2 linked regions of the Coturnix japonica genome follow. The protein of the gene in region 1 purifies or fractionates together with the protein of each later gene. This does not show direct contact. Links are inferred from orthologs where the notes say so. Each region holds a gene or a part of one and is shown on either strand. Other genes may lie near its edges.

Region 1 (4,395 bases):
CCAAGAGGAGAGAAAGGAGAGCAGCTGCACAGCTGATTGACAGCAGTGATCCTTATGTGAAGGATTTAAGGGTACAGACAAGAATTATTAATCCATCAGGACAAATTTCAGTGGTTGACAGTGAGTTTAGTGCTAAGACAGTAATGGTGGATTGCAGAGTTGGTAGCAATTCTATGGATCAGCAGGATTTGTACATCCAAGAGGTCATTACCTCAACACCTGACAAACAAGGTCATATTCTCCTTAATGGAACGTCTCAATGGACAGAATCTACATAATAGAAAGTAAGATATATTCTTCTTACATTTAATTATTATTACAGGTGACTGAAGGACAGACCAAATTAAACAATATGACTTTCAAACCATGAAGGAGGAGACCCAGAAGCACTGCAAGAACCTGCAGTTTTAGTCACAATAATCTCGGTGAGTTGTGGCCAAAATGCTGCCTCTCCCTGGGGAAACACATGAGGGAACTTCCTGCTGCTCTGCCCCAGCTTCACACAGACCACAATGGGTAAAGCTAAAGCACTTACATGGAAGGCACATTTTGTTTCCTCCTTCAATAAGAGGAAAATTATGGGTAATTATAATAATGATGATAATGACTTTGTACACAAGGACACGAGCTGTATGTTGAGCTGCATGCAGCTCTGTCTGAAGATAGAACACCTCAAGGATTCCCTACTTACCACCTCCTCGCAAGGGCTTCTTGTTTGGTTTAGATTTCGGGACTGCTGATGAGGTGGAGGCACCAGGTTCTGCTTCTTGCTGTTCACAAAAGCAAATATTACTCAGAATTCAGTCAACATGAAGTCCAGATAATCTAATGACACACACGTAACCTGATGAATGACACGGCTGTTACCTGACTCAGCTTCAGGTTTCCTTTATAACTTTTTCCTTCCTGCATACTTTCCCACATTTCTATCTTCTGCCTTCGCTTCTGTTCTTCAAGCTAAGAAACAAAAGGAGAATACATCAGACTAAGATTTTAGAATGATCAGAATTGCCATTGCTACAGAAACAGCTACAACAGGATTCATGAAAACCACTGGATCCCTCTTTACCTGATGCAGTATCACATCAAAGAACTCGGATTAATGAGAAATATTACTGTTCTGCTGATCACATTGATTTACAGCTCCAAGATAGCAAGGCCCAAAGCATTCCAGCCACACAAATTCTTGCAGGGAAGCATTAATCACTTCAAGAATGAGCAAAACACTGAACGTATCAATCACTCTAATTAACTAAGTGCAGGAGGACCTCAGGTCAGCGCATCATACAAGTGCACTGAATGGCCATCACGATACCTAACGCCTGTTATCACAAAGTGTATCAAGCCATATGAAAAGCAGATCAGGTGAAGGAGGGAGAAAAATCCCATCACCCCCATTCCAGCAGAGAGATCCTATTCTGGTATCCAGAACCGTATACAGCTTTCTACAACTTTCAGCAAAGCACCTGATGACAAGTCAGTGAGTTAAAGAAAGAAATACTCTCCGGTTACCTGTCTTTGTTTTTCTTTGTATCTTTCTGCTTGTGCATTCAACTCCTCCTGCATCCTGAGACGAGATGCCAACAAAGCTTCTTGTCTTCTTACCACCATGTCAGGCTCTGGGGAATAGGCAGAGAGTTTGCAAAGCAGCTCAGAACAGACTCTAACTGGAACCCTCAAAGAACTGCAATAAGGAAAGGCACACACCTCCCACTGCAGCAGCCCCACAGAAAATCACAGCTCAAGTTCAGTGATTTCTTACATTAACTCATATGCTGATCTAAATTTCTTATTTGAATATTTTAGAGCTGTTATTTGATGGGTTTTTAATGGATGTGGACACTGACGGAACAAACCCATACAAAACTAACATCCGAGCTTTAGGATGTTTGCTTCTATTTCTGGAGGATTTGTTCAATACAAGTAATTTCAGAAATACCATCCATGCATCACAGGAAATCCATTTTTATCCACAGAACCTGTTTGAAGCAGAAGCAGAAGGCAAACAGCCCACATCCACTCCTCCTCCTCCTCCTCAGAACTGCTGCTGCTGCTTGGGTTAAACAGCAAAGCAGTGGCAGATTTAATGTGCTCCATCAGCAGAGAAATTACTCACAAACATCAAACATATCTCAATAGAAAACTGGCAGTCTTGGGAAATCTACGTTAAGAAACCACCTCTGTTCATGATTGGCCTTTAGAAGTTTGGCTTTTTCACACAAAGGATGGTGACACATTGGAACAGGTTGCCCAAGGAGGCTGTGGATGCCCCATTCAAGGCCAGGCTGGATGTGGCTCTGGGCAGCCTGGGCTGCTGGTTGGTGACCTGCACACAGCAGGGGGTTGGAGCTGGATGAGCACTGTGGGCCTTTGCAACCCAGGTCATTCTATCACTCTATGAAGAAGTTAAAAGGAAAACTGGCCCACAGACCACATCCCTCCCCAGTGCCACATCTCCACAGCTCCTGAGCACCTCCAGGACAGCAACTTCACCACCTCCCTGAGCAGCCTGTGCCAATGCACCACTGTTCTTTTCTTCCTGATATCCAACCCAATCCTCCTTTAGCGCAATTTAAGGCCTTTATCTGTCATCTGACCATCTGTCTAACACCTATTGCTGTTACCTGGGAGCAGAAGCTGATCCCCCCCAGCCCCTCACCACAGCCTCTTCTCAGCGACCAGCAGGAAGCAATAACGTTTCCCCCAAGCCTTTTTCTCCACACTGACCCATCCCAGCTCCCCGTACAAACCAACAGCTGCTCCAGCCGCTCCCTGCTGGCTGCTGGACCTCAGCCTCAGCTTTGGGGCCATCTTCTGGACGATGAAATAGATGGCGACGCAGGCCAGGAGGATGTACCAGCCATAGCTGGACAGCAGGGCGCCCACTGGGAAGGGAACAAGGACTCGGTCTCATCCCCTCAGCGCTGCACAAGGACACGGCGGCTCCCATCCCCTCACAGCACCGCAGCTCGTAGGCCCAGCTCCCCCCGCCCCAGGCCTAGTTCTCCTCACCCGCTGCCCCCAAACCCCGCTGTCCCCATCCCATCCCATCCCATATCCCCCATCCCATATCCCATATCCCATATCCCACCCGTGTGCTGTAGCAGCTCGAGTCCCTCCCGTTCCAACGCCGGTTTCCCAGGGCCCGGCCCGGCCCCGCCGCGCTCCCCCAGCTCCATGGCTCCACTGCCGCCTCACGGCCGAGAGCCGCCCCCCCGCCAATCACCGCCCTCCTCGTCCACACCACAACCAATCACCGCCCTCCTCGTCCACACCGCAGCCAATCACCGCCCTCCTCGTCCTCTGCCGCCTCGCGGACAGAACGCCAATCACGAAACGAAAAGGGTGACATCACGGTTACATGAACCAATGGGAATTAGAAAGGAAGTGCAAAGGGACCAATCGCGAAGCCGCCCCCACCCCCCGGGTGCATGAAGCGGGCCGGGCAATGGCGGAGCGGACACGGAGCTTTATTAACGCGGAGCGGGGCTACGGGACCGACGGAACCGGGTCCTCATCCATCTCCTCCTCGTTGTCCTCGGCGGAGCCTGGAAGAGCAGGAAGCAGCACGTCAACCTCGAGGGTTTCAAGTCCCTCCCAGCACACGGAGGTTCACAGTTAAAGAGGGTTTAGCAAAGCAAACCGACCTGCTTTGCGTTCCCTGCCGGGGATCTGGCCGGCCTGCAATAAACCCTTGAGCCGCTCCACCTCGGCCAACGTGGAGGCGTTTGCTATGGCAGCCTGAAAGACAACGGGACATAAAGTGTCAGCACATTGAGAATGAATGAACAGCACTGAGCAACAAAACACCTCGTTGTTAAGCTGGGACGCCTCGTTAAGCTGTGACACCTGAAGGTTCTATGCTTCCCCTCCTGTCTAAGCGCTCTGCACTCACCTTAATCGCCTCCACGTCACCCGGGGACGGCCCGGCTTTCTTCTTGTCTGTAGGCAGAGCAGCGCCTGGATTGAAGCTGCAGAGGGATAAAAGCAAAGAGGGATCGTTAATATCTGGGAGCAACGTGTGCTTCTCTCACTTCCAAAGCAGGTTTGGAAGCGTTTCAATCAATCAAGTGTAGTATCTTCTCTTTGTTAACAAACTGATACAGTGATGAATGGCCTCCTTCAGAAACACCAACCGCTTGGATTTGTCCTCACTGTCCCATCCCCTTCCCCCCCCCCAGATCTTTTCATCTGCTCATAATGAGGCAGACTGGCACCTTAGAATTAAGCGGCTGATGAAAGCTGTTGGATTTGGATGTTGTTGAACCATCACACAAAGCAGAGTGAATGGAATTGGATTTCAGTATCTCACAGGATACTGGGACAGCCTATGTAAAATGAATGGTGGAAGTTCCTTGTGAGTTACCTGCTGCTGCTTAAAGGACAGCAGACGTT
Region 2 (4,938 bases), on another chromosome or scaffold:
AAGTGAGGTATTAAGTTAATCAGTTTCAATATATATTTCACTAAGAGAAAAATGAACTCAAAAGAAGAGAGGAAAGAAATCATATCTTCTTATACTACGTGTAAGTAGCAGTACCAACTTGAAAGCACACACTTGAAAAGATATGAATATGGCCTCAAGTTGCGCCAGGGCAAGTTTAGGTTGGATATTAGGAAGAACTTCTTTACAGAAAGGGTGGTTATGTACTGGAATAGGCTTCCAAGGGAGGTGGTTGAATCGCCATCCCTGGTTGTGTTTAAGAGCCGTTTGGTTGTGGTGCTCAGGGATATGATTTAGTGTAGGGTTGTTAGAGTTAAGGTACTGGTTAGGCTGCGGTTGGACTTGATGATCTTCAAGGTCTTTTCCAACCTGGGTAATTCTATGATTTTATGAATGTATTTCTGTAAATGACAATACCAGGTGGCTGTAATTCCTGGCTTGTACTATTAATTGATAGCACAACTCCTTTGGTAGTTTTCCATCACCAAATGGAATTGATGTTTGTTCAGTTTGGTTACGAAGTTCTTATCCTTTGCAGCAGCAGCTTAACTAATACAATAGTACACAGGGAACCTACATGAAATACTGGCTTGCAGCTTCAGCTCTGAGAAAACCACCAACTATCTGCACAGCCATGGAAAATAAATGGTTACAAACATGTGGCACAGTGACAGGCAACTTCCATAACCCTGAATATTGCAGGTATCAAAACAGTTAAAATGGCATTCTATAGGTATTCTTACCTGTTTCCATTCAGGTCAAAAACGTATATATTTCCTTGGTGGTCTCCAGCAAGCAGAGAATCTCCAGAGCTGTCAAAAGCCACATTCAGAAAACGTATCGCCTTGGAGTGATACCCTGTAGCACTATGAATGATGTTCACTATAACCCTGTAAAGAAAGCAGACAAAAACAATCGTTTTGAGTTGTTTTATAGCCACGTATTTTTCCAAGCCCTAAGATTAAAATCTCCCTTGATCACTGTTTTACAGTTCTAATCATTCGTAGTGTTCTGTGAGAAACCTTCCACGAGAAATAGGTCTTTGTAATATAAAAGATATATACTAAACAAAGGAAGTCAGTTGCTATGTTGAAAAAATAATGTTAGAGAGTAAAGCAGGCAGGAGGAATCCCACCACTCATGGTCCTGTTATGCAGCTACTCGTGACCTGATTTTCATTTGTATTATTGTATGACCAGTTATCTCCTACATCATCTGGATGTAAATTCAGTCACAGAATCACAGAATGAGCCGGGTTGGAAGGGACCTCAAGGATCATGTAGTTCCAACCCCCCTGCCTGGCAGGGCCACCAAACATACACCTTTACTAGATCAGGTTGCCCAGGGCCCTGTCCAACCTGGTCAGTCAGAGTAAGTAACTAAAACTGTGTAGAATATTGGATAGTGTGACCACACTAAGGTAAAATAGGGATGCCTCTGAGCCACTGAATGCCTGGAAAGCAATATAACCACTACATGTCTGCAGGTACTGGTGTGTACACCAAGTGCAAGTGCACATCTGTACGGCCACGTAGCTATGGCCACCCACATCCCCCCGTGCCCTCGGCCTGTCCGTGCCCCGCTGTTACCCGCCCGTTGCCGGGCTGTGTTTGCGCTGCCATAATGCGCCGTGCTCCCTGCAGCCCACATCGCAGCTCGCCATCCTCACACAACGCCGCTCCCGCGCTCGCCGACTCCCCTCAGGGCTCTCTCAACTGCCGCCGCCGCGGGGGGTGCCGCACACTTGGTACAACCCGCTCCCCCTTTACCGACGGGGAGCGGCGGGAAGAAGGCGGGAGATTCCCCCCCTCCTCCAGCATGGAATGGATCAGCCCGACTGGATCTCGGGGCACGCAGGGAGCTGTAGTTCTCAGTGCAGCCTGGAGGCGGGGCCGGAAGTCAGCGGATGGGTCGAACTGTGCGGCGCCACGTCTGGTTGTGGCCCGGCCCTTCCGGCACCGCTCCCTGAGCTCCCTCAGCTCCCTCAGCTCACACAGCGCCCTCAGCTCCCGGTTCCTGGGAGTCCTCGGTGGAGGCGACATGTCGGACTTGGGGGACTGGTTCCGGAGCATCCCTCTCATCACCCGTTACTGGTTCGCCGGCTCCATCGCGGTGCCGCTCATCGGCAAGTTGGGCCTCGTCAGCCCCGTCTACCTCTTCCTTTGGCCCGACGCTTTCATCAACCGCTTCCAGGTACGGGCCGCACTACCAATCCCAGCGTGCTTCGCGGCGCCATCGCTGAGGCGAGCCTGGGCCGGGCGCGCGGGGCATGCTGGGGGTTGTAGTGCGGGGCTGCAAGAAGGCGGCCGTGCCTCCCTGCCGTGGCCTGTGTCCGGGACGGGCAGTGCGGCAACAGGGTGACACGGCCACTATGGCACCTGTGAGGGTGTAACGCCGGGACATCACCTTTGTGGTTTGAGTTGAGGAGGTGCCTTTGCACTCATATTATGTGTCAGCATCGGAGCTCTATCACAGAATCACACAGAATCGCAGAATGAAGTCTCAGGTTTGAAAGGATCCTTCAACGACATGTATGCTTCCAACCATGTATGTTTCCTCCTGCCTGGCAGGTCCACCATAACAATTCACCTTATGCTTAGATCTAGTTTGCCCAGTTGCCCCGTCAAGGCCTGGTTGCGTTTGAATCACCTCCAATGACGTGCGGATCCACAACCGTCCCTGCTCACTCCTGTCCAGGACCAACCACTTCTCCTAGTAGAACTTTCCCCTTATATCTCCAACCTAAATCTTCCTCTCTTTAATCTTAAATAACCATTCCCCGTCCTGCTATGTCAGCCTTCAAAGAGTACCTCCTGGAGTAAGTTCCTTCCAGTACGAATATCTATATGAGGTCTACCTTCGCATACCTCTCTATGGCTGAACAACCCAACTCCCTTCAGCCTGTCTCCTCAGTCAGGGGAGGTCTTTCTCAGCCCTCTTTATTCATCTTCTCGCCCCTCGGACCGCTTTCCAAAATCTCCATGTCTTCTTGTTACGAGGGCTCCACAACGGATCACAGTGCAACAGATGGGTGGCCTCAACAATAAGCAGATGTTATTATATGGATTGCAGTCATCACCTCCCTATCGCCTGCTGACACTTCCCTCGCCTGATGGAGCCCAGGATTCTCCATTGCTTTCCGGGCTGCAAAGCGCATTCGCTCATGTTGACTCTTTCATTCTCAATTGCAGGACCCCCAGGTCCTTCTAGTGAAGAAACCAAAGCAGGCCGCTGCTGCAAGGTGCTCAATGAAGGTTGCTGTGTGGGCTTCCTCCTTCTTGTGCAACAGATCAGAGTCAATTCTGTATCCCCTTTTAAAATGGGATTGCAAGCAGATTCCTTTGCTGCACTGAAGACTCGGTGCTGTGTGGGTGTTATGGAAGTGCTTGGGAAAGTTGTGTGATTGCTGTTGTAATCTAAATAGATTTGCTTGTCAAATTAAGAAGCAACTGTTGTGGCTGCTCAAACAGTGGTAAGTGATACTTGAGCTATTTTTAATCTATTTCTTAATCTTCCTGTTAAAACTAATAAGCCTTGTGTATGATCTCATTCATATAAATATGTCCTTTTCTTTGCTCTTTTTAGATATGGCGGCCAATAACAGCAACTTTCTTCTTCCCGGTGGGACCTGGAACAGGTTTTCTGTACTTGGTGAATTTGTATTTCCTGTATCAATATTCATCACGTTTAGAAACAGGTACGTCGTCCATTAAGTCGTATGCAAATGGTAAACTGTCTCGAGTTAATGGAGTCCTTGCAATGACAGACAGAGCTCCTGCTGGGACTGTTTGGGAGTAATGGAACTGTGGTTGATTCAGAAAGAGCTGAGGAATAGGGCTCATCTCTGTGCCCTCTGATGTCAGTCAAAGGAGAAACTGCACTGAGAACTTTGTGACTTTGGGGCAGGGAGCCTGTTCAGTTGGGATCCTTCTTTCTGCAGGAGGAATTGGTGCTTCTAGTTGACAGATATCAGGAAGTGAAAGTGAGACTGAAAGGTAGTTTTACTTCTGTTTCCTTATGTCTAATGTCTTTTAATATGAAGGTATGATACAGCATATGTAATAACAGGTGTATCCTTCTTGACAAAATAGTGGTCATGCTTTTTCTCTTTTTAAAGGCAAAGATTCTTATTTGTATTCTTCTTTATGTTGTTTTGAATTGAGAGAGATCCTCTACAAATGCAGTGTACTCTTCTGTCAAATAGACATGTGAAAAGTTAAGGAACGAGTTGGATCTTGAGGGTAGAAGGCAGGAAATCAGACAGTGGAAAAGAATCTTCATTTTAATTTGCTTAAAGGGGAAATAAGTTAGAAGGTGGCTTCAAATGAGTCTTTTTGTATTGTGTAGTTTGTTGAAGCTAGACAATAATTGTTTCAATTAAATAATCAAAGCACTTACAAAGCTAAAATCCTTCTAAAAGCCTTTTTGAGCAGAGATTTCAGTGTAGTAATAATACAGTCTCAAAGCTGATGGTTGAAGTGGAAATGCTCTGCAAGATAGGGGGGGAATTAGGAAAGACCTGCTGTAGGGAGCTTTCCCCATCAACCTGTCTTTAGGAGAGTCTTGTGGGGTACCTTTTAAGTCATAAGAATAACAGGGAAATAAAGGAGTGTGACCATGATGCCATATTGTATTTGGTTGTTTTCTTAATTAAAGTAGTTGTAGTTCAGTAACTAGAAACAGTTCCTGGTCTGTTGGTGGAAGGTTATAAACAAATACATGCTTGTGAGTAAGAACAGTCACGACATTCAGCTGCACAAAGCTATATGGAATGAGAGTTCATGGTGGATATAGAGGAATTATAAGACATCACTTCTTGGATGTATTCTACAAAAGGTTTATGCTGGTTGTGCTGTGGCAGAAGTCTTCTGGAAGAAAGTCAGATATTTCAGCAATAAATTCACATACCCGCACTACTTA

What was found.
Region 2: the proteins of SELENOS (region 1) and DERL1 purify together in Homo sapiens (affinity purification with western blotting; 6 studies listed by BioGRID and IntAct, with this or other methods). This does not show direct contact. The link is inferred for Coturnix japonica from reciprocal best matches to the Homo sapiens genes SELENOS and DERL1.

Annotation. Positions count from the first base shown.
Region 1 is NC_029525.1:15,969,301-15,973,695, forward strand, and holds the start of SELENOS (selenoprotein S), read right to left. Parts: upstream 3,228-4,395; 5' UTR 3,180-3,227; coding exon 3,092-3,179; intron 2,886-3,091; coding exon 2,751-2,885; intron 1,620-2,750; coding exon 1,513-1,619; intron 958-1,512; coding exon 868-957; intron 771-867; coding exon 692-770; intron 271-691; coding exon of another isoform or gene 257-270; exon of another isoform or gene 212-256; intron 1-211. Other genes in the region: SNRPA1 (U2 small nuclear ribonucleoprotein A'), read right to left, coding at 3,490-3,548, 3,648-3,741, 3,896-3,971. UniProt on the Homo sapiens protein: Involved in the degradation process of misfolded endoplasmic reticulum (ER) luminal proteins. Participates in the transfer of misfolded proteins from the ER to the cytosol, where they are destroyed by the proteasome in a ubiquitin-dependent manner.
Region 2 is NC_029517.1:124,321,948-124,326,885, reverse strand, and holds the start of DERL1 (derlin-1), read left to right. Parts: upstream 1-1,932; 5' UTR 1,933-2,058; coding exon 2,059-2,211; intron 2,212-3,603; coding exon 3,604-3,715; intron 3,716-4,938. Other genes in the region: TBC1D31 (TBC1 domain family member 31), read right to left, coding at 762-908, 1,608-1,681. UniProt on the Homo sapiens protein: Functional component of endoplasmic reticulum-associated degradation (ERAD) for misfolded lumenal proteins. Forms homotetramers which encircle a large channel traversing the endoplasmic reticulum (ER) membrane.